Drosophila melanogaster: one gene and its partner. The protein of the gene in region 1 interacts with the protein of each later gene in a pairwise test. Each region holds a gene or a part of one and is shown on either strand. Other genes may lie near its edges.

Evidence for each region.
Region 2: the proteins of beag (region 1) and CG17230 interact in a two-hybrid assay, tested with the Drosophila melanogaster proteins (one large-scale study listed by BioGRID).

The regions. Positions count from the first base shown.
Region 1 is NT_033777.3:9,062,564-9,078,558, forward strand, and holds beag (beag), read right to left. Parts: upstream 2,516-15,995; 5' UTR 2,427-2,515; coding exon 843-2,426; intron 778-842; coding exon 688-777; 3' UTR 569-687; downstream 1-568. Other genes in the region: Ada (adenosine deaminase), read left to right, coding at 2,676-3,689; pum (pumilio), read right to left, coding at 8,382-8,874, 8,944-9,112, 9,189-10,466.
Region 2 is NT_033777.3:11,428,995-11,445,798, forward strand, and holds the start of CG17230 (uncharacterized protein), read left to right. Parts: upstream 1-8,790; 5' UTR 8,791-8,886; coding exon of another isoform or gene 8,887-9,087; 5' UTR 9,088-9,105; intron 9,106-9,148; coding exon of another isoform or gene 9,149-9,371; intron 9,372-9,429; coding exon of another isoform or gene 9,430-9,692; intron 9,693-9,785; coding exon of another isoform or gene 9,786-9,893; intron 9,894-10,890; coding exon of another isoform or gene 10,891-11,641; intron 11,642-11,901; coding exon of another isoform or gene 11,902-11,991; intron 11,992-12,128; coding exon of another isoform or gene 12,129-12,252; intron 12,253-13,197; exon of another isoform or gene 13,198-13,312; intron 13,313-16,804. Other genes in the region: Sptz (spastizin), read left to right, coding at 1-58, 116-545; Dtd (D-aminoacyl-tRNA deacylase), read left to right, coding at 1,088-1,130, 1,186-1,276, 1,345-1,577, 1,633-1,742; RpL24-like (ribosomal protein L24-like), read right to left, coding at 1,850-2,344, 2,415-2,495; CG5276 (uncharacterized protein), read left to right, coding at 2,985-3,946, 4,001-4,298; Exd2 (exonuclease 3'-5' domain-containing 2), read right to left, coding at 4,562-4,970, 5,178-6,305, 6,368-6,582; CG5281 (uncharacterized protein), read left to right, coding at 7,186-8,229; sals (sarcomere length short), read right to left, coding at 8,887-9,087, 9,149-9,371, 9,430-9,692, 9,786-9,893, 10,891-11,641, 11,902-11,991, 12,129-12,252.

The DNA of each region.
Region 1 (15,995 bases):
TTCTACTATTTAATCATTTCCGGCTTTGTTTTCCCCATTTCCTCAAACCACTCTTGGCAGTGTAAAGGGCTGAGCTTCGGTTTTCCGAAGCTGAAAGATACAAACTTTACCGATACCCATTTTATACAAGTCGCCCCACCATCCTCACACTCGGACTTAGCGTAGTGATTAAGAATAGCATTCCCGCGAAGGTAATTACATTTAATCAGTGTCATATTTCTAAGCATGCAGGAAACGTTACATGTTAGAGAGCAGCACTAGGTGCACCCATCCAGCTTAAGTAGATGCAGCTCGCACACCAACTGAGAATCACAAGCAGTGCGTTTCGGGACTGTAAGAGCAATGCAATGCAAAATAAAGAGATCGATTTTATTTGATTGTCGAACCCGTTTTAAAGTTCCCCAACATTTGGCCTTACTCGATGGAAATTAAACTCGCGTTGCGCCAGCGGTCTTACAGTTCTGAATCCCACTGTACCAGCGCTATTGCCGCACATAGTCGATAAGTCAACCTGCCAAGCTCCCTAAGGACCCTCCCCTTAGTTCCCAACTCCAGTAGCAGTTAAATTAGTGATAACGTTGCTAAAATATATTTGAGAGCATGTAAGATTAATACAAGTACGAGCATACTTATATTTAATGTTTTACAGAATTACATTACAAATATAGAATAATGTTTCAAGAATTTCTAGTACTTTGCGGATTTGTAATCGGGTTCATCGCCACCAGCACCGCCGCCTCCACCGTCCTTTGGCAGTTTTCGCTTTTGAATGATTGTCTAAATGGCAAAGAAAAATAAATATTTTGTATTGATCATCGACGAATCCTTTGGGATATACATACCTGAATCTTTTGCCACTCCCTATCGAGCTCGGCCTTCTCGTTCTTCTCCGTCTTGTTCTTGCGCGTCTTGCGACCGTCCTGCATCTTGACCCCGTACTGGAAGGCTGCCTTGGGCAGCGCCTCCTTCGTGCTCATGTAGTCGGAGTACTCCTCCTGCGTGTCAAAGTCCCAGCGTCCAATGGGCCCCTTTTTATTGCCCAAATCCATCTTGGTGTAATCCACCTCATCGTCCGAGTCGTCGATGGCGTCGTTCATCTCCTCCAGCCCGGGATAGCATTCTGCGTATCCCTCGGGTTCAGCGAACCGTGCGGCCATGGCCTTCGATATCTTGGGTGGCGGGGGAATACTGGATATTATCGGCTCCTCTGATGCCTCCGGCGGGCCGTCTCCAAAGTAGGACGGGGCGGACTTGCCTTGCTCCTGGCGGTTTCGCTCAGGTCGCGTGGCAGAAGGTTGGTAGTCCCCTATATCGTCGTAGATATTATCGCCCAAGGGAGCTGATTTCCCTCCCATGTTCGATGAGGACGAGGTGGCGTGCCGACTGGAGCCACCATTGCTAGACGACCCACGAAGATTTTCCACCTCCTTTTCGTAGAACAGCGGTTTGTCCTTGTCGCGCTTTTTGTTCTTCTTGTTGCGACCACCGGCACGTAGATAGCTCAGGATTTGGGACAGCTTGTTGATCACAATGTCATTGGTGGTCAGCGTGGCAACATCCTCTTGTGACACCGGCACCTCGAACTTGGAGCGCTTCAGTGTGGTTGGAATATCCGACTCCCCTAGCTCGTCATCCAGGTCGATCACATAGGCCATCCGTCCTGGAGCAAATAGCTCATTGCGGGGAACTTCTTTCGAACGCCTTGCCTGCACTAGATTGTAAATATTGCGCGCTAGTGCACCATTGATTGCATTAATATCCTCCGACTCGCGGCGTTCCGCTTCCAATTGCTCAGCGGCGGCAGCTGCTTCGGCGAGCTTTTCCCTTGCCACAGCGGCGGCAATCTCCTCCTCTTCCGCTTCCTTCGAGTGCAGCTCGGAGCGCACTTTTTGCAGAAGGGCGTAATCAAGACCCTTCACCAAATGCGTATGCTGGATGTCTCCACCCAAGAACTTGGACTCCTGAATGATACGTCTTCTTCGCTCCTGGGCATCGATTCCGGATTTCATATCTGGCGCTACAGCTCGATACGCATTGGTGCTGCTTCCGTGTCCCGGCGTGCTCACGTTCACGTAATCTGGATTGGCACCATCGCGTCGTTCTCGTGCTCGGTCCCTGTACTTCTCGGACAGCTCTTGCAGCTTCACATCCTCCTGCTTCTTGAGCGCCGCATAGAAGTTCTTTTTCTTGCGACGCAGATCATTCCGCTCGCTGCTGCTCTGACCCTTCTTCTTTTCGCCACTCAATCCTGTCGTGCCGGGGGCGGTGGAGGGCGTGGCAAAGGTAGCAGTGGCCAGAGATCCTCCAGCGGAGGTGCTGCTCGTCCCGGAGCCAGGAGGAGGAGCTCGGGGCGTCGCTAGCAGCTTGCGGAAGTCATCGTTGGTTAGTCGCACCGAAGGCGGTGCTTCCAAGTGGGCATCCGACATGGCGAAGAAAATTCGAAGAAAACTCGCAGAGAAAATCTATATTTACAAATTGTGCTTCTTCTTGGTTTTGCCTGCCAGGGTTGGCTGTGTTTTTGATTTTTCTCCGTACTGTAATCGATAACATGTTTACAGTGATGGAAGATTAGCGTTTTTAGCGTTTTTTCCGAATAATTACGAATATTTGAAAATCGATTCCACATTTAGCATCACTGTTTCTCATAATGTATTGTTATTATTGTTAAACTACAAATGGAGCAGTTTCTTAAAGGTCTGCCCAAAGTAGAGCTCCATGCTCACCTCAACGGTTCCTTGGGCATCAAAAGCCTATGTGATCTTGGCGAGCGATTGTATGGAACCTCTTGTAAAGATTTCCTGAAGTTGTGCGCGCACTTCAGCCGATTTGAAAAGGATATGGATGCATGCTTCGAGAAGTTTGCATTTGTGCACGAGTTGACCTCCACCCGGGAGGGTCTGCGATTTGCCACGGAGTTGGCGATTCGAGATTTCGCTGAGGACAACGTCCAGTATGTGGAAATGAGGACCACTCCTAAGGCAAACGAGAACTATTCACGCAGGGACTACCTGCAGATCGTGATCGATGCAATTAAGGCAGCTAGCGAAACGTATCCAGAGATAACAGTCAAGCTACTGCCCTCCATCAATCGAGCGGAACCAGTGGACGTGGCTGAGGAAACAGTTTCCCTGGCTGTGGAGTTGGCACGGGCTCATCCAAATCTTATCTTAGGCATCGATCTTAGCGGTAATCCAGGGAAGGGGCGGTTTTCCGACTTTGCTCCTATTCTTGCACAGGCCCGGGATAAGGGTCTGAAGTTAGCTATACACTGCGCCGAGATCGAGAATCCATCGGAGGTAAAGGAAATGCTGCACTTTGGAATGTCCCGCTGTGGACATGGAACTTTTCTTACTCCCGAGGACATTGGGCAGCTTAAACAACGAAATATTGCCATTGAATGCTGCCTCACTAGTAATGTTAAGTCGGGAACAGTGCCCAGCTTGGAGGAGCACCACTTGAAAAGAATCATGGAGGCAGATGCACCCAAGGTTATCTGCACGGACGACAGTGGCGTTTTTGATACCACTTTGACAAAGGAGTTTCTGATTGCTGCGGAAACTTTCGGTCTAACCCGTGAACAATGCATCGATTTGACCTTGGAGGCAGTGCATCATTCATTCGCCAGCGAACAGGAGCAAATACAGATGGCGGATAGGGTGGGGAACTACGCAGACATATTGGTCAAATAAAAAAACTGTCACTGCCCTAATTGAAATAAATAAGTTTTTGTATGTAACACCATATATGTACCAACCTGATTCTTATTTGTCAAAAATTTTACCTTTTAATATCATTCTTTTTATTCAATATGTAGAAGTATTTAGTTACAAGTTTGTTCATTAGTTATGTTCATCCTTCGTACGTACATATGTGGCTAATAAGTTTTTATGTTTTTCTCATTTAATATCATTCATAATTGAATTCAAGTTTTCTGTTCATTACTTTATGTTCTCGTTTCTGCCGTTCTGTGTGGCTTAGTTTGGGGGTAGGCATTCAAAATACAATGGAGTACAAGCTTTGGTCAATAGTGGGCTCTTAAACTGCACCAAGTGAAGTGGACGATCGAAATCTAAGGAAACCAAAGTAAGACTTAAATGATCGAAATCTGTAGTTTAATAGCACATTTTGAAACAAACTTTTTGGGTGAAGACATCTTTATAGTCGGACCCTCCACCTACCCAAGCCTGCAGATTAGCTTTCAGTTGAAGTGGTTTGCCTGCCTGGTATTCCCTATATACAGTTTATCTATATTTTATACTTTTAGTTTGGTTTTAGCTTACTGCTGTGTTTCTACATGAGTTTTACTACTTTATCCAGTTCATTCCAAATGTCGAGCTTCAAGAAACGACCGACTTGGGAGTTTATTTATATTGTATAGAAGTGTTTTTACCTCAACTAGAGAGTTCAATTACAAATCTATATATTTATATAAAGGTTTACATTTCTACACTTTGGAAAAATTCTACTAGTTGAAAATGGTATGGTATGGATTTTGCTGTTGTATTCGACTTTATTTAGGAGTTCGGGCATAGGGTTTTAGTATTCTTGCTTTTAAGTATGTATAATTTTTTTTAAAATGTACGGCCTGGTAAAAGTTTAGCTTGCCAAGGCTTATAAAAAAATATGTCTTGTTTACTTACTGGCTCATTTATAAAAGTCGACCATTTTTGGGTAATATCATATAGACAGCTAGCCTGCTCATATATAAAAAATGCGCCGTATAAAATGCCTCGAACTTGCGCTTTCATTTTTGGTTGTTGTGCCATTTTCTGCAGATTTGGAAGGGCTATAGAGGTTATGGTACGTGTATATTATTTATCTATATTTATTTTCAATGTAATGCTATTCTCGTTAATTGCATGCCGTATTAATATCAATTTTGATTTCAGTTTTGTAGTCATCGCAGCCTTCCATTGAAGCCAATCAGTTGAAACTATGTGTGGATGTGTGCATTTTGGTGTGAGGAAGAGACAATTAAATCGGTTCGAATTGAGAAATAAAACGTTTTCTTTTTGCTACATAATAAACTTGTTTTATTTTTTTCACAAAGAAATTAGCATTAATCGTATTTTGTATAATAATAATAAACATAAAAATCTAATGCATTGTTAAATCAAATGCTCGAATGCAATGCTGTCCAAATTGTAGTTATTTAACTTGTGCCAATCGCTCGCGGTTTACAAAACTAAAGGTCTCGCTCTGTGTTTGTATATTTGAATTTCTCCGTGTGTTCGAGTGTGTAACTACAAAATATTATCGTAATTAATTAATTACTGTTTATTTATATTTATATGTATGTATATGCTTTAATATATATTTATATTTATATATAATTTATAGTTTTACTTGACGCCAGCTCTAGCACATGTCATGCCTTTTAATTTCCGCCATCCTTCCTTCTTTCATTCTTTCCTTTCTTTTTACAACAAATTACAAAAGGTTTATTTATGTCCTTAGCTTAGTTTACAAGGTTCTGCTGTCGAAAAAATTTTACAAATTTTTGCTTCTGCGGTATGCTTTATATTTACTTGAAATCTTGGTTATCTATAGGGCTTTATCGTATTGGGCTTTATTTTGTTTTTACACTTTAGTTTGCGAAAATTTCAAACCAATAGCCGAAGGGTTTTCTGATTTCGCAAATTCAAAATGACCCACTTGTTTTTGCCTTTGGCATACAAAGAAATGCTTGCTTAATTCGCTTCTTTATACGATTACAAGTTTACAGGGAGTTTTTCGTACATTTTAAGTTTTATTGTTTACATTTGTGGTTGTTAAATATTGATCCTTTTTAAGTGGAATTCGCTTTAGATTTTTAGATTTCGACTTGTATACCCAAGTGTCTTACATGCGTGCAAAAAATTGTTACTGTAAAAACTGGGCGTGTGTAGAATACGCCAGCATACGTGTAAATTTCACTGTGCCACGGCACTTCCGCTACTCTACACATGTATTTTACATATACATTATTTTTCTTTTTTAAAAAACGTTTGCCTCACGTCAAGTTCAAAACTAAGTGTAGTACATAATTCTATATGCGTGTATATATGTTTAAATATTTATAGGGATTCGCTGGCTTACACTAACTACTACAGCTAAGCAGCTCGCTGTGTCCTTTGTGTCTGTGTGGGTGTGTAGATGTGTTGGTGTTCGTGTCGGTGTGAGTGTGGGTGTTCGGTGTATTTTACACGTCAAATGTACACGGCGTGTAGCAATGTGTTTAGCCTACAGAAAGCATCTCTACTTGCATTGTTCACTCCGTATCGAACTCGAGAATCCTAAATACAATGTTCATCTATGGATTATTTAAATTAAAATTATCAGTGCATTGCGCTCTAGAGACAGGCAGTTGACAAGTTAATAACTAAAAGTACCAAACAAATAATACCGAGCCCTGCTTGCGCTGTCGCTTGAAATGCGCTCACTTGTTCAGAGACAGGATAATACGGATGTTGCAATGTGGTCATGTTCAATGGGATGGATTAGGGGTAATGGTAAATAGTGAATGATTAATGGTTAATGGGATGGGTGTGTTGGGGGGAAATGTACAGAAAATTACAAATGTTCAATGACTGGTATCCTTTGCTTGTTATATACAAAATACGACAACGACAACGACGACGGTGACGACGACAACAACAACGACACGACAACGAATTTGTGTGTACAAAAATATGCATAATACACTTTACATTGATCTCCAAAAATTGTTTTACATTGGATTTTTGTGTGTTTCGACGAAACCGACAAAAAAGTCTAAATTCGATTTTCTTACCATCTCTCGTTTTCATTATTTTCAGTATTTTAGTATTTGGAATAAGGCGTCGCGAAGTAATCTAAATTTATATCAAAAATGTACAAAATTCTTGGTATTGTTACTTTTTACAATATTCGTTCGTATGTATACATATACAGTTTTTGTTTGCAATTTACAAGTGTTTCGATGACGTTTTAAAACAATTTTATACACTTACGTGAAGGAAGGGTTGGTTAATTATTTAGTATGCCGCACAGCGAATGCATTTCAAGCTTCGCAGGGAGCAACAAGCGCTTTCTGTCTAACATAACAAAGTTAACTCTCCACCTGATTTCGTTCAGTGTGCAGTTGCGAAAGCATAGTGTCGATTTAAATATACATATACATATATCATACATTAAGGTGGGCTAGCAAACATAAAAGGGTCTCGGAAAATTTTGAAAAAAATTGGTTTATTTTGATGGTTATTGTTTTAAAATCCAATTATTATCATTTTTGGCTTACTTGGCTAACAGGTTCTTTTAGCTGGCCACCAGCTGACCAATATCCATGCAGATCGTCGATCGGTGGTCACCAGCTAATGTGTATAAAATTATAAATACATGCGTGAGGTTTAGAATAGAATATGTATGAGTTACTTGCGACTTAAAAAAAATTTACAAAATAAAGTATGTATACATTTTACAGTGAAACATTTGAAAATTACATGGTTTACATGGTTTGTTGTTTGGGGTTTTTTTTTATACAAAATTTTTACATAGTGCAAAAGCAACGTGAATGGGCTGAAGAGTCGTTCATTGTGTGGGTGTATGCAACCGAGTGTGCGTGAGGGGGCGTGGGCGTGTCTCGTGTGTCTCTGTTTTCATTGTGTCTTTGTAGCTGCTGGCTCCAAAAACATTATTACTCTACATTCTACACTAAGTGCGGCTTCTGCTGTTATCCCTCGTATATATGTTTGTATATTAGAAATGGTTCCTCTGTCTGAACTTATAAATCGTAGGCTAATTCATGCAGCCCGCTCTTTTTACTTTCTTTTTTTTCAGCTCGCCGGCTCTTCAGTTGTCTTCTTATTAATTTACAGTCGAAACATTAATCATTTACAGATAGACTTGCTATATAATAATTAATTTATACAAAGTTACAACGAAAATGTACGCAGACAAATCTGTTTCATTGACATTTTACATTACATTCATTATTTTTTCTTGATCGCGATTTACTACGCATTTTTGTTTTCTTTCATCTTTGCGGTTCATGCCTTTTTTTTACAAATTAATTATGCGAGCGCATTTTACAAATATTTTGAAATCTTTTTTCATGAGAACGTTATTAGTTTTGTTCGTAAAAATACAAATTTCTTTTAGTTTTAGCTGTTAAGCTCTTTTGCTTTTTTGCTTGCCAGTGTGCTTCTTTGTTTGCTATTTGTTTCTCTAGATTGGCGCATGTGTGTTTTACTATCCTCTTTGCAAATCTTCGAGTGCAGCTCCATTTATCGCTGCTTTTCCAATAAATAAGATTACATTTATATGTACTTGTTGTTTATGTTAAGCTCTACAGCTTCTAAAAACTATACTGCGATTCGAGAAGGAAGTTTCCTTTGACTGCCTGGCTTAATTTGTTATTTCCTTTACAGCACAACGTTGCCGTTGGTCGGGGGTCCAATGGGACCCAAGCTGCTGTTGACAGCGCCTGACACCACCGAGGACGAGGACTCGGAGGCGTCCGGGGAGGAGGGCTCCACAACCATGGCGCTGCCGTTCTCCTGCACCGAACAAATGGTGGGTGAGGCCAGGCTGTTGGTAGTGCTGGTCGTGGTGGTGCTGCTGCCACTGGTGCAGGCGGTTACCGATGCCGAGGTGGCACCACTGCTGACTGCCGCCGCCGACGAGGCTGCCGGCACTCCTCCAGCTCCTGTGCCCACCGTAATGGGATTGGTTATCTTCATGTAGTACTTCTCCAACTTGGCATTGATGTGCTTGCCGTAGGTGTACTTGCGCAAGGCGGCCATGTGGGGCCGGATCTTGGTCATCAGCTTCTTGAGCTGCGTCGGCTCCGATACATCGATCATTTTTTGGACCACATAGTTGGCATACTGATCCTTCATCATCACGTGCAACGCGCTGCGGAGGGAAAATGAGTTTTGGTTAAGTTAAAGCTAAGAAGGATTCAATTTCCGTGCGGGCACTCACTTGTCGTTGAAGGTGCAGACCTCGTCTATGAGACCAGTGCGTTCTCCGCGAGTGGCATGGGTAACACATTTCTCCACAACGTTTGAGGCGAACTTGTGCTGTGATAGCACCAGAACTTTGCCGCGCACGCTGTTGATAAGAATCGACTTATCCTCCTGCTTGCCGTGTTCTATAAATCAAATATGAAGGTAAGATGATGTATCAGCTATAAGGAATACATGTTAAATTATCAAGTGATAGCTTACCAAGCACATGCTGAATAACATAGTTGCCATATTGGTCCTGAATCAACTGTTCGGTGTGCTCATGCAGTTCGTCCAAAATGGGCGTGGTCTGTTCGGCAGTGCAATGCTCAAGGATTCTCTGGATCACCCGGCATCCATACGGATGGGTGCTTAGCGAGTAAACCTGACCCTTGAAAGCATTGATGATGAACTGCAGCGCCACGGGGTCCACGCACTCAATGCACTTTTGCACCACATGATTGCCATTCTGATCCTTGACGCATTTCAGCACATGTCCGTCCAGTTCGTGGACGATTTCCTGCTGCTGCTCCGGCGAGATGCTCTCCAGAGCCTTCTGAATCACTCGGCAGCCATACATTTGCAGCGCCAGCTGCAGCACATGACCCTTGACCTGCATGCCCAGCGTGTTCTTCTGCTCGGGAGTGCCGAACTCAAAGAACTTCTGGATGACATAGTTGCCAAAGACATCGGTCATCAGGCTATAGGCTGCCGCCAGGATCTCGCTGAACACCATTTGCTTCTCGGCGGCGGTGGCCCGCTCCAACTTCTGTTGGATAAACCGCGAGCCGTGCTGATCCTGTGAGAACTCCACAATGTGGTTAGCGAGATCGCGTAGCTGAAGATTTGGATACCGCTGGTTGCGGAAATCTTCGAGAAGGCGAGATCTTCCTGGCTGTGGGGCACCTCCCACTCCGCCGGCTGCTGCTGCCACCGCCGCTGCTGCCGCTGCCGTGGCAGCCACCTGACGCGAGTTGGCGGCCGCTGCTGCTGCCGCTGCAGCTGCCACAGCTGCGGTACCCGGAATGGCCAGGGGATTCGAGAAGATCGAGCTGTTGGATCCGAACATATTGTTGGCAGCCGCGGCCACCGCTGCCTGAGCAGCTGCTGCAGTCGCCGGCAGACCAACGGCGGCCAGCTGCTGTTGTTGCTGCTGCCGCTGGCGGGACTCGGCTCCAGGTGCCCGACTGCCCAGGAGACAGGATTGCGCCGATGGCGGCGGCGTGATTGGTGCGCCCAGGGGACTGGCCGAAGCATTGCCCGCTCCCAGGGCTCCGTAGGCTCCACTGGCCGCTCCCGACATCGCTCCCGGCCACTTGCCACGCGCTGCGGCGGCTGCTGCGGCAGCTGCTGCTGCCTGGGCCACTGTGCTGTTCACCGCATTGGCGGCCGCTGCCACACCGCTGCTGGTGTAGTCCATGGTCGAGGGACTGAAGGCGGAGGTGCTGCGGTCGAAGGAGTCGCGGCGACCCGTCAACGAGCTCGTGTTCAAGGCGAGGCCTGCAAAAAGTGCAAAGAAAAAATGCATTAGTTAATGATAAGCTATTTGGAAAGGTATAGAGGAGAATGCACGATTTTATGGCAGGACTCAAAGTTGAAAGATAAAAGTAAGGTACATCAATGTGAACTTAATCATGTTAGTTGCATAGTTTAGCACCACCCAGTGCAGCAAATAGCATCACTCAACCGCCGCAGTGACAATCAATCGGCAAATGGAAAATCGAAACCCGGTTTCATCCATCCAGCTTACAGCCTTGGGCGGGATATAAACTCGAAGTGGTCCCAGATATAAAACTCTGACGCAACTGTGCCATTATCCTTTCCAGTCGGTCACCAATGTCGCTCCGTAATTAATCGAGAGAAGCGAGGAGGCGGCTTTGATGCGCCTGTAAAACTTAATTGCCCGCTTCGAGGCGCAGCTGTTGGCTTAGTTTTAGTCACTTAGCCATTTGGCATTTGCAGTGCAGACGATACACATCCCTCTCTCTCTCTCTCTTTCCATCCCACCCCCGCCCGCGGACATCTATCTCTGTAAGCCATAATGTACAGCATTAATGGTGCGCGCACATGAGGCAGCCTGCAATCTACGAGAATATGTAAAAGGATACAAGTGGGCGGCCACAGCGAGTGGATGTAGCTGGGCGAAAGACGGTGCCAACTTGATTGATGTCGTAATCTGTCACTCGCATTTGATTTGCCATCTAAGCGGCGAAAGTGGAGAAAGTACAGAGGGAATGGAAAGCGAGACGTTGAGGGGAGGGATTTACAGGCTGAGTCTCTCAATTCCCTGCGACCAATGATCCGGAAATGTGCGACTCAGCGAAAAGCGAAAGTTCAGCCTGCAAAACCCCTCGGTCATAATAAATTCCTTTCACAATCTGCCACATTCTGTTGCACTTTGGTGTCCGTAAGAGCCAACTGCAGATTAATTGCTCAAATTTATATTGAGAGGGCGGAAAATACGCCATAAGCGTGGCCAGGACACATTAAGTTATTTAGCAACTAGTGCAACAAAGGCTGCGCGAAAGGGTTGCGAAATTTCCAGCTGGTTGCAGGTGAATAAGGGATTGGGTGGTTCTGAACCACTCATGGGTTTTCCGGGGCGTGTGGAAAACAGGGTTAAAGGACAAGGCGAGGCGAATGTTGTTAATGTCAACACAGTGTGCGCAATTTGTTGACCGAGTTATTAAGCAATTTGTTGAAAGTTGCGGAATGGGGCTGGTAAATAATACACAATGTTGGTGTTTGTTTCTGAAAACTAAAGTGGAGCAGTGTTAGCAGGTGTGTAGTGTAACGAAGAAATCGATAGTTAAAGTAACTTGGGTAAAATGTCTCAATTTTCGTGGAAATTGTATGTAACTACTTCAACTTTAAAGTTAAATGATCGATTTTACTTAAGTGGCTTAGCTCTGTTAATAATAACTACTTTACGTTGAGCCTGCAAACCGAATATCCTACCGCTTTGTTATTTCCTTAAGTAATCACTTTAGGCTTTAAGGATAATGGGACGTTTAAAAATCCGCTGCAATTCTTGAGCAATTAAAGCGCGGCTCTGTTTCCGTTACTTTGAAGCAGCTCTTTAGCACTAATTACATTTCATATAATGCCCCTTAAACCGTTTTTTCATAGCCTACTTAACAGCGCTTACAAAGTTGCCCGAGCCGAGAATAGTTTTCCAGCCCCGCCCGCTGACGACCTTCCTCCTGACATTTAAATGACCTCCCCACCCCCCATCACCACCTTGTGGAGACGGAAATAGGAGTGAGTGGAACGTGTGCATAATGTGCACGTGTGTGCATTTATAATTCATAAAATCATTACATTAAGCCAAGGACGAGCGGCAAAGTGTCGTCTCTCGCGTCTAGTGCCGTCTCCTTCGCGCCACTCGGTCGCTCTCTTTCTATTTGCGGAACGTGTGCATAAACCACAGAATGTCGCATGCAATAAACTTGGCGTCTTTTAATGCCACCCACCGCCCACATCAGAAGCAGCCATGGTTCCACATGCACTGCGAGAAATATATGAGTTCGAAATTTGAATGAGTTCGTAAACAACACAAAAATAAATGACTACTCTCACCTTTCTTACTTGACAGGTATTCAGATCTTTATACAATATTAAATCTTAACACATTGGAATTTACAACTGAATGATGCTAACCAAGTTTTGGTTGAGTGTACACTGCAGTTTCATTTGGCAAAGTGTCTCCCAAATGGAGGGCTGCTCCCACTCTAAGCTGATTTGAGCTGAGACAGACGGTCGTCGGGCAGGCCCTGAATTAGTGGATGGGAGTGGGGAGTGGGGAGTGGCAAGACTGGCCCCATATACACTGCCAAATGCGCGCCCAGCATCCCCCATCCAACACGAAACACCCACCACACCGCTGGGGGGCGGTTGGCAGCATTTCGCCCCGCACAAATTGCATGAATAATTCCCTTTTAAATTGTGCAACTACACGCACCTAACCGAAACCCAAAACCATACCAGGCAAACGCATGGCCAGGAAATAAAATAAACAGATGGAAAGCATACGCCAGGCGCAGTCGTAGTGGAAAACTCCCCCACTCCCACCAAAAACACTTTCCTCGATGCAAATTGTTTGTGTTTTTCCGCCGTCTGTATTTGAAATTTAGTCAGTCCCCTTCTGCAATTTCGGCGAAGTAGAGAGGCGCCAAATTAGTTGCAATTTAAATGCAAGAATTACAAACTTTTGCCGCCTTGCCCCGCTGGCTGTCATTAAACTAAGCATTTCACTCGGGATTTCCCCGTTTAATGCAAGAACTTTTAACTGTGAGCTGGCAATTAAATTCCAGCAACTGTCGTAGACAGATAAAAGTTTGCCTTTATGCAGTTAAACTTCGATTCCAGTGCAAATATCAATCTTCATAAAGATAATTTATACATATCTAAAGCTGTAATTACAATTAAGTTTTAATATAATTAAGTTTTATGCAGCTACACAACTAACGTGTTTTAATTAACAAGAGTTCTTGTAGATTGGCACTGTTACATCGATCTGTGCAGCAATACAATTTGATTTGAGTTACGCATACGCCGTGTGGCACACATCATTGAGACTTTCATTAAGCGTAAAGTGCACACACGACCGCCACGCCAACACCTCCCGACACCGCAGCAAGTGTCATCCGTGTGCTGCATGTGATCCAAGCAGGATGTCCCTGCTGCTCCTCCGCCCTGTAAGCCAGCATAGCAATTGACATTTTACAAAATAAACGAATTCATTTGCACAAAAGGCTGCCGCAGAAGGGAGGAGGAGGAGCAGGGAGCTAAAGGATAAAGCAGCTGGCTGGCAGGACGAACAATGTACTGCATTGTATGCAGAGTGGTTTCGTTGGCTGGGCGCTGCATTCGATGGGTTGGCTTGGTTGGCGAGGCCTTTCACTTTTCCAGCACCCCTGTGTGATGCAATCACATGTTGCCAACATGCGAAAGGTGTACATAATAATTTAGCAGGCAAAGGGAGGATGTTCCTGCTGCTATTGCTTCTGCTGTTGCTGCTGCTGCTGCCGCTTCTGTGCTGCCCCCATTGTTTTCAAGGCAATACCCAAAATGGGTATGGCGGTTGCAAAGTCAAGCTGCTTTCTGCTTCAGCCTCTGCTCCACCGCCCCTTCTTTTGCAATCCTGGCCTGGTCCTGGAACCCAGTAGTCACATCCCACCCCCTTCTTTGGCCCCGGCCAAGGCGCATTAACATTTGTAATTGCAGCTTGTCTCTGACGCAGAAGGGGATTCGTTCAACTGATATCCAACTTGCCACCCTGGGCCCGTGTCTCTGCTTACAAACCCCAACCCCAACCCCCCCCCCCCACCTCCCCGTCCCAATCTGTTCTGCTTCAGTCAGCCACTTAAAACAATATAATCTCCATTAAAAAGCCTTTTTGACATTGCACACAGTCAGAGACAGTCAGACAGGCAGACAGACAGATAGTCGGCTAGAAAGAGGGTAACAAGGGTGTTCAATGTACAGCATCGATTGCACAACATAATGAGTGGGCTGCTGATGATGAGGTGGCCTCCTGCCTGGCTAACATGCCGCCTGCACTTGTTAGTGGGGATTTGTGCCAGCGGAGGACAAACTGTGGGCGCCATGTGCTAATTGTAATTGAGATGCGAATGTGCAAGTGGAAATGGTTACACTCGGGCCAAAAATGCCATCGAACTAATGGTTTTACATTTGCAAATGTATAAACGATCAATTTCAAATATAATCAAATATTCAAATAAATATTAGCGCATAGAGCATTCTTTCCTTCCACAATTTAATAGGCAACTTGTCTTATGATCCGCACGCTTTTCCCTCAGTGCAACTAATCCAAATTGGTAGTAGTGCGGCATGTGGATCTGCGAATGTGGCACACTACTCGAGAGACCCTTAGCCTAATCACCTGGCATCATCACGGTGCTCGGGGCAAAGCATGTCAGGGCTTGACTTGCGGTCTCGAGAACGGATTGCGTTCGATTGAGTTTTCCCCAGCCACTCGAAATTCGAAATGGATTACTTAACCTGAGGACTTTTGCAGATCGCAGCTCTTAAAGTCCGTGCTTAAAATTGCAACGTTGAAAACAATTTCAGTGATAAAAGCAGTGTGTAAAACAAAAAAAGAAAAAAAAAAACGAAAAATATATAAAATACGTAATCACTCATACGTCATGTGGAACAACAGTGTGCAAAAGAAGAGAAAACTGGAAACTTCATTAAACTGCCATATGAGGCAAAATGAATTAACGACATAATAATGCCAGCTCCCGACCGTCAGGCGGATGGACGGGATTCGACTGCCATAGTCCGGGAAATTCGTTCCGTTAATGGAAAGAGCGTTTTTGCATGCGGTCGGGAAATAAAAACCGTTAGGTGGAAAGCGTAATAATTGATTTCGCCTGATTGTTAATGGAGTTAATGGAGCTGTCCACGTCTGATGTGTCCGTACTGGTGTGTATGAACTTTCTGTTTTAAGGAATGTTAACGCGTTCCGTAAGCTGCAGTCGTTTATGTTTATAAATCGAAAACAAGTTAAACAAATTCTACGTAATTGAAAATCCTTTGAATAATTTGTGAAAAATTTGAGTATCTTAAAGTTTGAATGCACACTTTTGTTGCCTAGCTGTAGTTAATAAATGTAATTTGAAATTCTATAAATATACAACAACTGCTCAGCAACAACAAAGATAAGCCATCGCCAACATTTTCCTTCTAGAGCTGGCAAGTATTCTATTGCAAACTGGTAGTTTTTGGGTCCCAAACTCATGGACAAACTTTGCACTTCTGGATACCTAGAATAATGAGTGTGCACAGCGTATTAGCTATTGAAAGTTAGTAAAATTAAATATGAGTAATAAATATATAAAGTAAAGTAGAGTAATAAAGTAAAGTAATAAAATATATAAAGTAAACCAAAGTAAACGCCTAATTAGTACTGCCCATTAAATTTTCATCTAGCATTAAGTGATATTTTTAACATATAAACAAACTATCATCGTTCTCCATTACGATTTTATACCCAATGCATTT
Region 2 (16,804 bases), 2.4 Mb from region 1:
GCATTCTGATCCTCATGTGCGGTAAGAACATAGACGAAGGTTTTGGCCTGGCTTACGGGTAAGCAAAAAGATAAAATCAAGACGACAATGTCAGCTATAATTGTTTTATTTTTAGCATTATGCAGGACTTCAAGCTGGCTGCACTTAAGGTGTTTGGAGCCACTGCTAAGTACCTGTCGAGAAATCAGCGCTTGGGTGAGGTAGAGCGTCTGCTGGACTGCATAGGAAGCAACAACGGCGGAGACATTTCCACGGAGTCCGATGAAATACTCTCGATTGCCATTAATGCTGCTGTGCACAGCAGTGCGCCGGAGACGAAACAGATGCTGGATCGGTTGATCAAACGCATCGGCAGCGTGGAGCTACGAGTCTCCTCCTACATCTACATTGGGCAGCTTAAATCCGCCTATCTGCTGGCCAACAAGCACGATCGATTGGCGGATATCCGGCGAATCCTGCGGCAGGCGGAGCTTACCGGTCAGGTTCACATCAAGAAACTGTGCGATATGAAGCTCCAGCTAAGCGCCGCGCCAACGCCTCTGTGATATCCCAACCCTCGAGCAATAACACATTAGTAACCCCTTGTTTCTGGGATTTACTAGCTGTGAGAAATACCAAATGATGAATTTGTAGCTTTGAAAACTCCTGCATTCTAAAAGACAATAACATATCTAAGCAAATTCTCAATTTTGAGATTTAGATGAATATATATTATTCGGAATTGGAATTCATCTTTTGATTATTCACCTAGTGAAGGCCCAAGTTGTTTTGTAACTGAGCTAGCATAGATAATTTGTTTTTAGAATTTAACATATATGTAGATCAATTTTAATCTTTCCAAAGGGCCAGCAAGTATTCCACCCTCCAGCTCAAAAAGACTCTCCCAGCATGTAACCAAATTATATTATTGATTGTACTGTATTTTATATTTATTATGTTATTTTTATATTATACTGTTATATGTTTATTACCCAGAAAATGCGCGATATTTTTGAATTCTTGGGGCGACGGTCAACACTGCTCGTGTCAAGTTTACCAGCACTGACAAAGATCTAAATAAGTGGTAAATAAATAGAATAATTAAGAAATGCGTGCGGTTATACAAAGGGTTAAGGCTGCCAAAGTGACGGGTATGCAGGATCAAATAGTTACCATCTATCATATAATTTTATACTGCTCCCCTAGTGTTGGATGAGCTGGTGTCCTCCATTGGACCAGGCCTGTGCGTGCTGGTGGGAATCAAGGCCAGCGACACCGCCAAGGATGTTGAGTATCTGTAGGTAAATTCCACTCTGGTGATAACCACCTTAGGTTTAGACCACCTAACACAGCTTACCATTCAAGTGTCCGGAAAATCTTGGCTCTCCGTTTATTCGAGGAGGAGGGCAAGCGTTGGCAAAAGTCCGTGAAGGATCTGAACCTAGAACTGCTGTGCGTCTCGCAGTTTACACTGTATCACCGCCTTAAGGGCAACAAACCGGATTTTTTGGCTGCCATGAAGGGCGAGGAGGCGCAGGAGTTGTACAATCAATTTTTGGATCGCCTAGGTCAATCCTACGATAGCACCAAGATTAAAGGTGAGTGATAGGAACACTCCAGCTGGTCATGTTTTAATCTCACTTACTATAATAGATGGCAAATTTGGAGCATACATGCAAGTGCACATAGAAAACGATGGACCCGTAACCATTAATTTGGAGTCCCCCGAACAAAAGGATACTGACAGAGAAGTGGACAAATGATTTGAAAATATATAACAACCAAAGACAACATTTATGTACCACGGGGTTTTTATATAATGTATTTTTTAGCAGCAACTTAAACTAAGAAAAAATCAGCGTACTCGTCCTTAGGCTTCTAACATCTCGAGATCCTCGACCCCCATTCCCTCCTCCAGTTTCTTCTCGAGTTCGCGTGCATCCACGTAGGTGATCTTCTCCTCGGGCAGATCCTCCTCCATGAGGGCGGCCTCCTCTGCCGCCTCCTGGGCACGTCGTTGCTTCAGCCCTGCGGCTGGGGAGCGAATCAGGGACATGTTGCGCTGCACATCCTTGACGTCCATCTGAATCTCGACCTGGCGACCCTTGCGCAGTCGCTCCATGACAAAGTGGCTGGTGCGTTTCTCCTTAATCTCCGTCACCCGCTTGATGGCCTCCAGACCCTTCTGCCAGGTCTCGCGGCTGTATTTCATGGGCACGTTGCGGCGCTTCTCGAACTCGAAACTGGGATCGATGGCCAGCTCCTTGCCGGCGGCCTTGCGGTACGCCTTCGTCCATCCTACCTTGCGGGGATTCTTCTTGCGCTTAAAGGCCTTGTGACACTTGCCTCGGCAGAACTTGAAGACCTGCGACGGAATATGGCGAAGCAATATAAACATCGGAGCACATGTAAACAGGAAAGCAAATCGTTCTTACCTTGCAGTCATTTCGCACGAATTGCACCCCGTGGCCCGGGTATATTTTGCTAGAGCAAAAATAGCACGTTTGAATGCGCATTTTCGCAATTTACGACGGATAAATTACGAAAACAAAACAAATGCGCAAGCTGCTAGCACGTGTGCTGCTGAAGAAGAAGAAATATGAAAATGTATCGGCAGTCAGCAGTGCGACCAGTCACTGCTTATCGATAACACTGGCTAACATGGAAAATAGCTAGATGTAGACAAAAAATATCCAAGCAAGAAATACGTATAAATTGCAAGTGACTGCGATACCAGTTGACAGTTGTATTGTTTTGATAATTTCAATTACCTTCGGTCTTTGTCCAAATCATGTTTTTCCCAGTATGTTTACATTAACTTAAACTGAATTGTTGCACCTGTTTCTCGATAACATCGCATGCGCTCGCCAGTTTGCACCAGCTGTTGCGCCAGCTGATCGCCCGCTCATGCGCTGGTCACACCGCCAGCATCCAAACAAACAGAGCAGCAGACCAAGAAAATCGGACACATCACCGCGAACGAGATCTTGCTGACGTGCGACCAGATGCAGAGCCCTGCCTTCGCGTACCGGGAACACGCAGAACACTCGCCGCGCGCCATGTACATGCGCGACTGGCGATCGGCCCTGCGGACGCCCACGTACCGGATTGGGAATCGGACGGTGCGCTTTAACTATCACTTCGCCCTTCTGATTGTTTGCGCCTTCGTACTCGTCCTACTCTTCTACTTTGCGCGCCAGGGATCGCACTCCTCCTCCGACGGCTACTGGCTGCGCCGCAGTTACACGGATGCCCGGAGTCTGGACAATGGTGGTCCAGTGGTCCAGGCCTACAATGCCACATATCCGCTCACGTCACCCATGGTGCTGCGTGGCGGTGTGATAAACTACCGGATAGCCATGATTGCCGATCTGGACACCAGTTCCAAGGTGAGCAAGGGCGATGGGAGCAGCACGTGGCGTAGCTACCTGAAGAAGGGCTACCTTACCTACACGGTGGCCAGGTCAGAGATCCAGATTAGCTGGGATGACGGGGCGCCGATAGTCCTGGAATCAGCATTTGCCCTTAAGGGCCGCGGAATGGAGCTATCTGAGCTAGTCACCTTCAACGGGCGCCTGCTCACCTTCGACGACCGAACGGGTTTGATATACGAGATTGTGAATGACAAGCCCATTCCCTGGGTGATCCTGCTCGATGGAGACGGACACAGTGCCAAGGGCTTCAAGGCCGAATGGGCCACAGTGAAAGAGCAAACGCTGTATGTGGGCTCCATGGGCAAGGAGTGGACGACAAGTGCGGGTGATTTCGAGAACAATAACCCCATGTACGTAAAGGCCATCACTCCGTCCGGCGAGGTGAGGTCGCTCAACTGGGTGGACAATTTCAAGCAGTTGCGCCTGCAGTCGATGCAAATAACCTGGCCGGGCTACATGATCCACGAGAGTGGAACCTGGTCAGAGGAAAGGAATCGCTGGTTTTTCCTGCCTAGGCGGTGTTCGAAAGAGAAGTGAGTAAGCGTGTCAGCCTTTAAATCCTTAACTCATCGATCTATCTTTGAAAGATACAACGAAACCAAGGACGAGCACATGGGCTGCAATGTCCTGGTCTCCGCCGACGAAAGCTTCACCAACGTTGAGACTGTACGGCTCGATCCTGAAAATACAACGCCCACGCATGGTTTCTCTAGCTTTAAGTTCTTGCCCGGCACCGATGACTCAATAATCGTGGCTCTTAAGTCGGAGGAGTTGAATGGCAAGACGGCCACCTTCATCACAGCCTTCGATATTGCGGGCAAGACACTGCTGCCCGAAACGAGGATCGAGACGGACTACAAGTATGAGGGATTCGAGTTCATTTAGCTCGCCATTCCAAGCTACCGCACTCCACTCTACTTCGATCCAGGTGCTTCAGTTTTAAACGTGTACATATTGTATTATTGTCCCATACGGTAAGCTTTATATTTATAGTCACCTAGATTAGTCCAGAGATGCTCATCTGCCTCATGAACCGTGACTCCTTGTCCCGTCTTGTACCATAGCACAAAAAAAAATTTTAGTTTATTTTTATTAAAATTGAAATATAAAACGTACAAAGCCGGTGGCAAACTCAGAAAAGCCCTGCATCACGTTTCTTTAATCTTCGCATCCAATCCGGCCACCATAAGATCGGCTTTATCGATGCGACCCTCGCTGGCGCGAACTTCCAGTCGATCGGCATTGTGGTTGACATTCCAGAGTTCGGGCAAAAAGCGGGGCTGCATTGTGTGCAGAAAGTGCTGCCGCCATAAGCGCTCCAGCTCCACCAGGCCGCCGAAATGATCGCGATATTGCTGCACCACCCGCTCGCCATGCTGACAGTAGTCGGAGTTTTCTACGCGATATTCCACGCTGGCTGCTTGCCGCAGGAGATCTTCTGTGATGTCCGTTTGATCGGAGTAGTAATCGAGGAGAGTCTTTTCCATTTCGGCCTTCTTTGCAGCGGGTATTTTCGCGCCATGATGAAGTAGTGCCTTGCCAGCGGATTGGACTCGTCTGGAAATAATAAAATGCAATTCAGATTCATTGAGAACTCTATGGAGATTAATTTTATCATATATCAGGGTATGTTTTGGAAAGTTAGGTGATAAAAAAGAGGCAAAATATGTCTGGTAAGATAACTGATAAGGCAATCTACATTCCTCGCAATGTATAATTTACTTTTACTTTTAACTTAGTTCTGAAAATGTATGGCATACTTACTTGAGCTGCGGATCATCATGGTACTTGACAGATCCGTCTTCCTGCTTGAAAGGAGCTTCGCACTGCACGGCCAGTTTGCTGCGAACCCTTAGATCCGAGATGTTGCTTAGCTGGTGGCAGGTTGGGCACAGGAGCAGCACATCGTCGGAGGTGTGAGATTTCATGACCAATGGGAAATGCTTTCTGTATTCCCGCGGTACCACGTTCTTCCGAATGTACGCATCCCGGTCACCACACACCACGCACTGGTTTTTCTTGATTGTTTGATAGAAGCGCCCCACATCTCCGACCGCTCGACCCGCTGGCTCGAAGTTAAGGCGGACAGTGAAGGGCTCTTCGCTTATATGCGTGCCCAGATTTTGATTGAGATACCAGGACGCCTTGCGCCTGTCAATTGTACACAGGAGTTCGCCATCGGGCGCCTGCAGCAGGCAGTTATCGTAGAAGTCTTTGGTTCGGGTAGCTATTTGCCGGTACGGTTGCTTCTTGGGCACCCATTTATTGCTTTTGGATTGGGTGGAGCCCTTTGAACGAGTTACTCCGCTGCCGGACGGGTTGAGTGTGAAGCCTTTCGTGAAGTCCACGTCGAGAAAGGGTTCGAATTTGTTGTGCATGCTATTGTCGTCCAGTTGCCTTCGTTGCCAAAAGTGTTTTGGCTGCAGATCCCTGCACAATTTTTGATAAATGGCCACCGCCATAAGTGCGTCGTTGGCAGCGTAATCAAGCTGTTTTGGCTCCAAAGTCTTGGCCTCCCAGTTGGAGCAGGCCAGGCGCCAGTGCTTGTCCAGTGTATAGTTCAGGTGAGTTTTGGAGAGCTTTCCCAGTCCCTCAGGTTTGTGGCCTGCCATTACGCAGAGGAAGCGCAGATCCAGTGTGCTGGCCACGCCTACTCCATAGTCGTGCGAAAGTTTCATGGCATCCTCCTGGGGTGCCACGCCCACTTTGATCACGGAATCGTCCTCGAGAAGCTCCCGCAGATCCTGGGGTATTTGTTTCATATGGCACAGTCGGAATAAGGCACATAGACCCCGATGGGAGCTCAATTGGAGCAAGGCCACTGGCCTGCGGCTGCCGCCCACGGTGATCCACTCGCAATCGAATCCAAGGACTTTAAAAGTCTGGCAGTGACTAAGAGGCAGAATATATATATATATTTCCATTGTCGTGAAATTAAAGTGGTTTTTACTTACTTCTTCAGTTCATTCAAAACCCATTGCGTGGTCGGATCCTGGACGGAGTTGATCACTTCTATGCGTCGCTGGGGCACCAGGCTGCCGAAGGACCAGACGCGACGCAGTGGACACAGCAGTCGGTGCCTGTGCCGCACCAGGACGTATACCAAGCCAACTCCTGCGGCCAGAATCGCCCAATTTCTTTTGGTGGCGACTGCCGATTCCCGAGTCATTGTTCTCCTTTCGGAGTTCAGCAGCTGATTGGCTGGCCTGCCAACTTACGTTTTCACAAACCGTAAAAGCCGGTCTAAACAAGTTTCGGAATATTTATAACCGTAATTTGAATGTGCTATGCCAAAATAGTTTTACAGTTTTAATACATTTTAAGCAAAACTTGTTTCAAATCTTTTAAAAGTTCATAAAAATATATCGAAATAAAACCGTTAAACATGACGAGTCGTTTAAAAAGGTGGCATTGTTGGCTGGACTAAGATCTTCGGGGTGGCAATACTGGCCCACAGGGTTTTCCGGAATCTCCATTCGCGAAAAGAATTAAAAATGTTTAATTAAACGCAGTCGGAGCGTGCAAACAATGAATAAAACTCAGTGAAACTGGCGGCGGGGAAACGATGTGCCATTGAAAACGCAGAAAAGGCGGCAGCAGACAGTGACACAGCGCGTAAATAAGGAAGGCAATCGAAAGAAATCGATTTTTCAGGGCAGGTGGGCTACCATTAGACTCCCCACACTCATGCACACATATTGATGCAAATCCCATTTGCAGGATGCTGAAACTTTGAAGGAATCCAGAAACTGTAGAGAAGAAACCCCACAGAATGCCGGAAAACCTCGAGCTTCAGCAGTTCCAGGAGGGCGCCCCGCCCCCAGATCCCGCCCCCCGTTGGCTGGAGCGCTTGCAGCGACGATTGGGCGCCGATTGTCCCTACTTGGGTATCCTGCTGGCCACGCTCTCCTCGCTCTTCTTCTCCCTGTGCTCGGTGATTGTGAAGGGACTGGTGGACGTGAACCCCATGGAGCTGGCCTCGTTTCGATTCGTCGGAGTCCTGTTGCCGGCACTGCCCATCCTGATATACACGCGACAGCCGGTGTTTCCGGAGGGCAAGAGGGTGATACTGCTGCTGCGCTGCTTCATGGGCACAACGGGTCTGATGCTCAGCTTCTATGCCTTCCGACACATGCCCCTGGCCGATGCGAGTGTCATCATCTTCTCCACGCCCGTTTTCGTGGCCATATTTGCGCGTGCCTTCCTCAAGGAGCCGTGTACGCTGTTCAATGTCCTGACCATCAATATGACATTGCTCGGCGTGGTCCTCATCACGCGCCCACCCTTTGTGTTCGGTGACACGGCGGAGAGTGAGGATGTCGCTGGGAAGACGTACGACATCTGGGGACCAGTGGCCGCCATATCATCCACACTCTTCGGAGCCAATGTGTACATCCTGCTGCGGGCGCTCAAAAACCTGCACTTCTCCGTCATCATGACGAATTTCGGTACCATCGCTCTGGTCTACACACTGATCGTTTGCGCATCTATTGGAGCTGTGTGCTGGCCAAGCTGCGGACGGGATCGTTGGCTGGTCGTTGTACTGGGCGTATTCAGCTTCCTGGGCCAGATCCTGCTCACGCTATCGCTGCAGATCGAACAGGCCGGACCAGTGGCCATTGCTCGCTGCGCCGACATCGTCTTCGCCTTCGTCTGGCAGATGCTCTTCTTCGGAGAGACGCCCACCGCTTACTCGCTGGTGGGTGCGGTGATGGTGATGGGATCTGTGGTTCTGACGGCCCTGAAGAAATGGGCAGGCACCCTGCCACGCGAGTCGTCGCTGCGGAAGCGATTCAGGCTCATCCTGCTGGAATAGTGTGGTTCCAGAGCAACTAAAAGAGTTCGCGGTTTCTCCCTCGTCTTGTCACATCGTTCTCACCCAATCCCGGCAAGCATCAGTGGCCGGCAGCAAACCCGGTTCATTCATCGTAGACTCTACTTATATCAAGGCTCAGATCGTAGATTAATCAAAATATATAAGAAGGGACGCGTGATATCCACTCCACTCATAAGTAAATACTCGTAGTGCGTGTTTAGTTTAGCCAATTTCGCCGATTTGTTGTTTTGTACATTGTTATACATGCTTAAAATACGGTAATAAATACAACTTATGAATAAAATAAAAACAAGTTATAATTTGCATTTGAATTTCACGCTCTTCTACATGCAAATTTGCACTACATTTTTATATAATTCATTTAAATAGTTATAAATAAACAATAAAATTTCAAATCTACAGCGACACAACATTTTACATTACTTTGTAAAAATTCCGTTACATGTAGAATACAGACGGCGCGACATCGATACATACATCGACATCATACATCGATTGCAGAATTAATTTTACATCCACCTCTAGTTTTTCGTTTGTTTGTTTGTTTATTATTGTTTATGTTTATATTCTCGAAGCACACACACTCGAAAAAACAGAGCAAGGAACGGAAACAGAAACGGAAGACAAGCTGAGGGACTAGAAGCCCAAATCGGCAATAACCGCGTCCAGTTCGTCCTGCAGATTGGTGGCCCGCGATCGCACCTGCACAATTTGATCCTGCAAATTGTCGACGTTCGCCTGGAGCAGCACATTGCACTTCTTCATCGCCGCGAACCGGCTCTCGTGCTTCTTCACGCGCGGCTCCACATTCGCCTTCTTCGCGGAGTTGGGCGAGTCCTGCGGAATACGGTACAGGTGAGCTGGCTAAATAGTTTACGATTCTCTGGGGCTAACTCACCTCTGGCTCGGACTCGCTGCCCGTCTCCGCCTCACTTTCCTCCGATTCGGACTCCTCGGACTCGTCGTCGGATTCCTCCTCTTCTTCGCTGGCGTGCTCCTCCTCGGCCTCCTCTTCGTCCTCGTCCTTCTCCTCGCCGTCCACATCGTCTTCGTCTAGCTTCATGGAGGCAGCCATCTTCTGCACCTCCTTCTCCAGCTTCTTAAACTTCTTGTTCTCCTCCCTGTCATCCAGAGTTGTTTCCAGTTTAAGAACAATACTACATTACAATTTGTACTCACTTGAGGATACTCTGGTTCTTCTTCATGGCTTGCTTGAGGGCGTCCTTCTCCTTCTTGGCCGCCTCCTCTTTGACCTTCAGTTTGGTAAGCTTGCTACGCAGGATCTTGAGCTCCTTGCCAGAGCGACGCTCCCTGCGCTCCACCTTCTTCTCCTCCGGCTCGTCAGGATCGCTTTCGCTGACCTCAGGCTCCAGTTCCGGCGAGCTATCCCTTCCAAAGTTTGCATCGCTTGGTCGACGCGATCCGTCCAAGGATCCACCGCCCTGCAGCCGCAGTTAATGCAAAACGGAAAACGGGAAAGAAGGGATACACACATTGGATTAGTGAGGGCATCCTTGAGCGGGGCCTGATTTTACCTGATGCCGTGCTGCATGGTAGTGGTCGTAGTGGAAGCAATCGTCGTAGTCGTCGTCGTCGTAAGCAAAGCAATTACTAATGTGCGGTCTGTTAGTGCTTGGTGTCGCCTTTGCAAGAGAGCGTGAACGGGTTAATCGGTTAGTTGCCGCGGAGTGCAATAGCAAAGCTTTCAGGGGGATAGGAATCGGGACCGGACGTGTCCTAGACGGGTCATAACACCGCTTTGGTCTGGGCGGAAGCAGAATGCGGGTGGCGGGAGTCTTTCATGCAGCATGCGTCCGGCAGTTGGAGTTTAAGGTCGTCTACACACGAGATCTTCGGACATTGTTTATACCTCTCGTTTCGTTTTGATAAAGATTACATTTTTTAATGTCTACCATGGCATGGCCAGGTCCATTATTTGCTTAAAGAAAAATTCTGGAACCTTTTGAGCATTTCCCCAGAAACTTGATTTTGTTTTGTCTGGAATTGTGTGCAAGCAAACAGATAGCACAGGTAAGGGATGAAGGCACCTTACTTGAAAAGTATGGCTTCCGAAATTTAATACAAATTGAGCTTTGATAAAATATGGTCAGTTTTGAATTTCATTTTTCGCTTTCTCTTGATAATAATTTTACTATTCAACTTGTCTGATTCCTTCTCAACAGCAAGCTGTCTGCTGGCTTCAATCAGATTTCTGGTATTTTAAGTCTCGTGTGCAAACCGTTTTTAAGAAGGAAGAAAACAAGGTGTATCCACGGGTAATCCTTTCCCAGACCCATTCCACATTTGTGTCAAGTGTTGTCAGCTGATCTGTTTCTCTGGCTACAGTGGCTACTAGGGACAACTAACGAGGGATCTAAGGCGGAGTCTACGAATTGCGGTGGCTTCGTTAGCTGCTCCCGTCTACTTGCCGCCCTCAGCGGACGCAGCGAGGCGACGCCGGCGACACTAAAAACAAGAAAGAAGGACTAGCTTCGGAGTCCGATGCTTTGCATACCCTTGGAGATAGTTATGTTGTAAATGGTTGTAATCCAAAATCCTAATCTCAACTGACAACACTTTGAGCAGCATCCCATTACCTACATATACATATTACCGAACCCGTTCTGCAAAAGGAATTACCTGAAGAGCTGCTGCCAACTTGCGTTCGAGCAACTGAATCTGGCGGCGCTGCTCCTCGATCTCCGTCTTGGCCTCCACCAGCTGCTCGGCGGTGCTCTGATAGTTTTGCTCCACCTCCTTGGACACCTTCCGTGCGTCCTCTACCTCGCGCTTCAGGGAGTTGACGTAGGTCTGTTCGGCGGTGGGCGTAGGATCCATGGTGGCCACAATCACATTGGATCCGTACTCGAGATTCTTTTCGCGTGACTTCTCGCGTTCCAGTTCGGTCTCTAGGGTGCGGATTTTGGCCAGCAGCTTCTTGTTCTCGCGATCCTGCGCCTCACGGTTTCGCAACTCCAGTGCCAGCATTTGTTTGGTGCTCTGCAGATCGTCGCGGATCTTGTCGATGTCGTCCAGCTCGTCGGGGCTTTCCTCGTCGATGGACATAGCCGATACGATGCTGGGCCGGGATCCTCCGGCTCCCAAGGCCGTGGCACTGCCCGGTCCGAGTGCATGGCTGCTAGGCGCCTCGCTGAGCATGTTGATCTTCGACTGCGACTTCTGCAACTGCTCCTCGATGGTCATCTGTCGGCGGAACTTGCGCAGACCGTCCAGCACCGGCTTGCTGCGATCGTTGGTCTTCGTTGGCTTCAACTTGATGCCGCCCTGGATCTGCTTGAGCAGCTTGTTGTGCGAGTTGCCCTTCTCCGTCTCGTAGATGAACTTGTCGTCCAATTTGGTTATCGACTTGCACGTCAGGATGGGCTGAGATCTATTAGGATTTGAATTGTTATAAAAGAGATTTTTGAACATTTTCGTGCAGAGTTATCTATTATTTGGCTGCTGGTACTTCTGCACACTTAAAATTTAAGTAAAAGTCATTAACATTTGCCGGATAAAGTGGCGTAAACGCAGTAAGATGCTCTAGGTACTCTTTCCTGTGGCCTTAAATAACTTCAGTTTTCATTCCCTTTTTAATTATCGGGAGTATTGCAGTCGGTAATTACTGCACAGCATGCGGACACCACTCACCTATCGTTGCAGGCCACATGGCGCAGCTTCTTGCCGCTCTCCACCTCCTTCATCATCTCGGACCAGTCGGGGCGCCTTCGGGGTCGAGTCCTGCGAATCGAAGCGAATCGGAATTATGGCCATTCTGCGCCTTCAAGGTAAAAACTATCCCGATGCCAGGATATTCGGGTATGCAAGCACTGGCGGTGGTCAGGGTTCATGGGTCAGTCGTCGAGGTTTCCACTCACCTGAGCTTCTCGAGGGTCTCCTTCTGTGTGCTGCTGAGCACTCTCTTCTCACCGGGAGCTAGGGGCGGGGGCGGCGGTGGCGGGGCCTTGGGCACCAGCGAGGGCAGCGGCGGCGGGGCGGGAACTGCAACAATAAAACACGGAATGCACCCAAGTGGGCGGCGGTTATTCTCTGCCAAATGGTGGGTGGGGCACTCGCTGCAAGTGGTGCAAGTGGGCGCGAGGTTTGGTCGTTGGGCATTAGAGCAAATCGCCGGGCGCTGCGTGCACTCGCGGTTATTAAATATAATTTTAATTTAATGAGTTTGCAATTTGTTTCAGTTGTTTGTTGTTCTTTCGGCTCCCGGGGGGTTCCTTAGTCAACCCGCCAGAGGATTCGCCACCCCAGTATTTAGCTGTGCTTTGCGAGCAAAGTTGCACCATACATATCAATACAGGGCAAAGAGAATGGAATGGATGGCTTTACACTCCGAACATTAAGGGTTATTTATTCCTTTTCGGTTTTTGTTTTAAAAGGTTCTGACTCTATCAATTCCCCAATTGTATTAGTTTAAATCTATTTTCATCTTTTCAGCTAGTACATTTTAAATCACTTAAATGCCAATCTTAAGCATATCTAACATTTTCCTTACAAAACAGAGGACCCAAACTATTATGTCAGCTGGATTATACATTTTAGAGAATACATTTTGGGAATTGTCTAGTGTTTTGAAAAATGTCAGTTCATCATTTCGCCTTTTAGCCAAACACAATATGAATAGAAAAGGCTTATAGTCTGTTTATCTGAAGTTTCGCCTGGTGTATGGGGGGCTCCTAATAGAATGAGAGCCTAGACACATGGCTGTCTCTGTCGGAAGTTGCAGCAGAGATTGAAAAGTTAGTGCCTGCCTCCGTTGCGGCCTCCGCCTACGTTTCGTCCTCGTCCTCGTCCTGCTCCCCCGACACCGTCTTGTCGTGGAACGTGGACCTGGCTTTGATGGTGTTTTATTGCCTTAACACCATTCATTCGATTTCTTTGGGACTCATACACAGGCATGCATCAAGATGGGTTTCTTTCATAATTTTTTATCGAATACTTTGCATTCCTTCATGCTTTTTCCTTTCGGCTTGTTGTTCAAAAGTGTAAAAGTCAAACAACAAAAAGAAGAGAAAAACAATGAAGGCACCACCACCAGCACCATCACCATCACCATCACCAAGTGATGAAAAGCTGACAAATCTGTTAATTAGCTTTGTTTGAGTGAGTCCTGGCAGGAAGCAGGGGCAGGAGATTTGATGCCTTTTGGGTGGGACTGTGTTACCAAGGCCACAACCGCCAGGGCCTTATCCTTTGTCTGAGCTCCGGCTCCGGCTCCGGCTCCTTCTCCGTCTCCGGTTTAGTCTGCCTTCTCCTTTTTCGGTTTTCCAGTTTTTCGGTTTCTCGGTTGCGCCTGGCTGGATCTGCACTTAATCTTTAAGTGGTTGGCTGCCTTTTGCGGTGCATTAGTATCCGAAATACCTTCCGAAACCCCCTCGACCTGAGTGAAAAAGAGGTGGATAACTTGGCCAAACTGGAGAGGTAATGAAACTAATCCGAACTCGTGTTACTTTGCCGAATAAAATCAGAGCAAACGACCAACTTGATTATTGTCTAGAGCTGCTTCACCTCAAGCTACCGATCCTGCAGCTCCTCATGAATTTTCCCCCAATGTCTGCATGTTAATGAACTGCTTCCATGGGGGCAGAGAAGCTCTGATTAAAATACGTGGTCAACTTTTCGGACAGCCAATTGAGGACGCGTTTAGTGAGTTGCGCTCAATTCGGTTTAGTAATTTATGGACAAAAGCTCTCCCCCTAACCACTAAACCCGCCCTCGAATCCCTGGCAGTTATCCTAAATCAGTGGCAAACAAAAGTGGAAGCGGGCAAGAAACAAAAGAAAGCACAACAACATCACGCGAAGAGAAACGAGGCAAGGGTGCCGGGCAGATAAAAGTCTTCATTCATTCATGTCGACAAAATTATTTCTTATTTAAATAAAAAGCAAGCACTGCCACTGCCACGACTGAAGATGAAGAGCAGGAGCAGGTCCTGGTTCTCGGAGCTCCGAGTTGAGATGAGGCTACCCACTTAATATACCGCAAAGCCCGCACTTACGACGTCGCAGAATGAATAGCGGTGTATGTAAACATAAATTTTGCGAGCTCACTCTCGGTGAGGCATGGCACCCTCCTCATAAAGCCCCCTCCTGGCTCATTGTGTTATCATCAGCGGAATATTCTATGCATGCACAAATGTTGCCGTTGTCATTGAATCAACCCGGAGTGTGGAGTGTGGAGTGTCGGATCGGGTCTTCAAAAACTGGCGAACCCCAGGCAACTGGAGTGGGTGAGGGAAATCTGCTGCTGCTACAGGGTACTGGTTACTGCTTACTACTGGCTGGTTACTGGTTACTGGGAAGTGGAGTTCTGGTCATGGACTGCTGCCAGCCCAGCCGCCCGATGAGTGACTTCCCAGCTTCCAGGCTGTGCTCATTCATTGTCTGCCGGGGCATGATGAAGCACCGCTCAGCCAGCTCATATATTTCATGACACAGAATGGTAGGGAGTCGTTCCCCCAAAGCTCCTTTGTATGATTAGCGTTTCTGCCTTGGCCGGAACGCTGTGCGAAAGGGCTAACCAGGGATTACATGGGGCTTTTTGTAAACTATTTGGAACCCGATTAGCTCGGAAATGATGCTGTTGGTTTACCGCAAAATTCTAAGTATTTCTCTAGGATTTCACCTCGAAACCAAGTTCATTTTCCTCTCTATGAAGTGCAGCTTAAATTTATATATCTTTGGAAGCCGCTTTGGTATAAACGAATTCGGTAATGTTTTCCTTTCACAATCATTATTAACCCTAAAATAAATACAGCTCAAATTTCGAATTTAAAGCAAAGTTTTACATCTGAGGTTGTCCAATCCAACGATAATTCTGCTTTATATTGCAGCATTTGTGTAATATAAGCTGTAACGTTTTTATAAAATAAATTAGATATCATATTATTTTATTTGTTTATTTATTTTTGTTTACCGAATACTTTTGCTGTTTCCGCTGGACGGTAATCTTTATTTAATTTCCTTTGTGCCTCCGGAGACGAGCCTTAAGTCCAATTAGAAAATTCAATTTCAATTTGGATTTGTTGTGGCGTCGTTTGGGGGACACTAATCCAATTATGCAGTCAACCATTTCATTGTCGCCCAGTATAATTATGGCCAACAGCAATTGGCCAATATTAGCAAGTGTGTATATATATATATGTGTGTGTGTGCCACAGAACTTTGAACCATTTTCCTTTACGTCATTTTGACCACGCTACATCTAAATTTGAAAGAGCCTAATCATCTTTTATGCTTCACCGGGTAGGTCACACACAGAAAACCCAAAATGAAAATCACCCTCACCTATTGAAAGTCGACGTTTCTAATGACGGGCAGACCCTAGCCTTCACCACCACCAACACCACCCACCGCTTGACCCTGGAAACAAAAAAGAGCCAAGAGTTTCCCAAAAAAAGGAAGGAAATATGGGGCGCAGCCGTTACATGTCTCGCATCTACAGAGGGATACATAGAGATGAGGCTCATTTAAATAAAAGAAAATATTTTTCGTCCTGCCGCTGTTTGTCCTTTGAAGACATTCGAGCCTCTTAAGAGGGGAACTTGCGGCCAGCGCCGTCTTTTATTTCGTTTTGTTTTTTAGTGGCGGATATTTGAATATAAATGGCGCATTTAGTTAGACTCTATCAAGCTCATTCCCATATATCTTTGGCTGCTTTCGGCTCGGCCACATTCTCCCCCCCACGAGGATTCACTTCCAATTGGAGTCCGAGTTGCCTTTTATCATTCGATAGTTGCCAGTTTTTTCTTTTTTTTTTTTTTTGGGAATGAAACTTAAGAGACCAGGACGCTGGCCGGCCATGTCCTTGTGTCTCCTCACCATTGCTCATCTGGCTTTAAAACATTCTATTTTATGTTGTAGTTTTGACAGAATGAGCAATAATCATGAATTTTGTCTTAGACCATAAAAAAAGCCCACTCCACTGCGGACCCTTCCTCACAAGATTTCACCCGAACACATTAAATAAATGTTTCGCTCTCTTTTTTCCTAGTGTCCTTCTATGCTGCTCCCTTTTTTTGTTCGCTTCTGTTTGATAGGGTGACAGCTTTAAAACGGACGAACGATGCTCTGTTTTATTTTTGGCGGACATCGTTTTTTGGTCATTTTATTTAGTGACCTCTTTGGCCAGTCTCCGCCTCTTCGATCCTTTTGTTTGTCGGTCAAGATTAGGAGGCATTTGCGGTCACGTTATTGCCCACTGATTAGGTCGGGCACAAAAGGCAAGTTAACTGCCTCACACGTAGGCGTAGCGGTAGCGGTAGCCGTTGCCTTAGCCCTTTCACCCAAACCATTTGGCCAGATCCTAACGAGCTTTTCACTTCATTTTAGTTGACTGCCCCAGGGGAAAACTGGAGGCCTGGCCCACGGACACGGGCTTTCTGCAATTCAATTTTGAGGCCAGGTGACAGCATGCTTATGCAACATTTGGTTGCTTTGTTTTTTGAAAGTCTTGCCCCTGCCGACTTGCCGCCAATCGAGCCCAGCCTCGCGGCAGGAAAGTCCATTGCAGAATTACAACCTTCTTTAGTTGAGAGTGT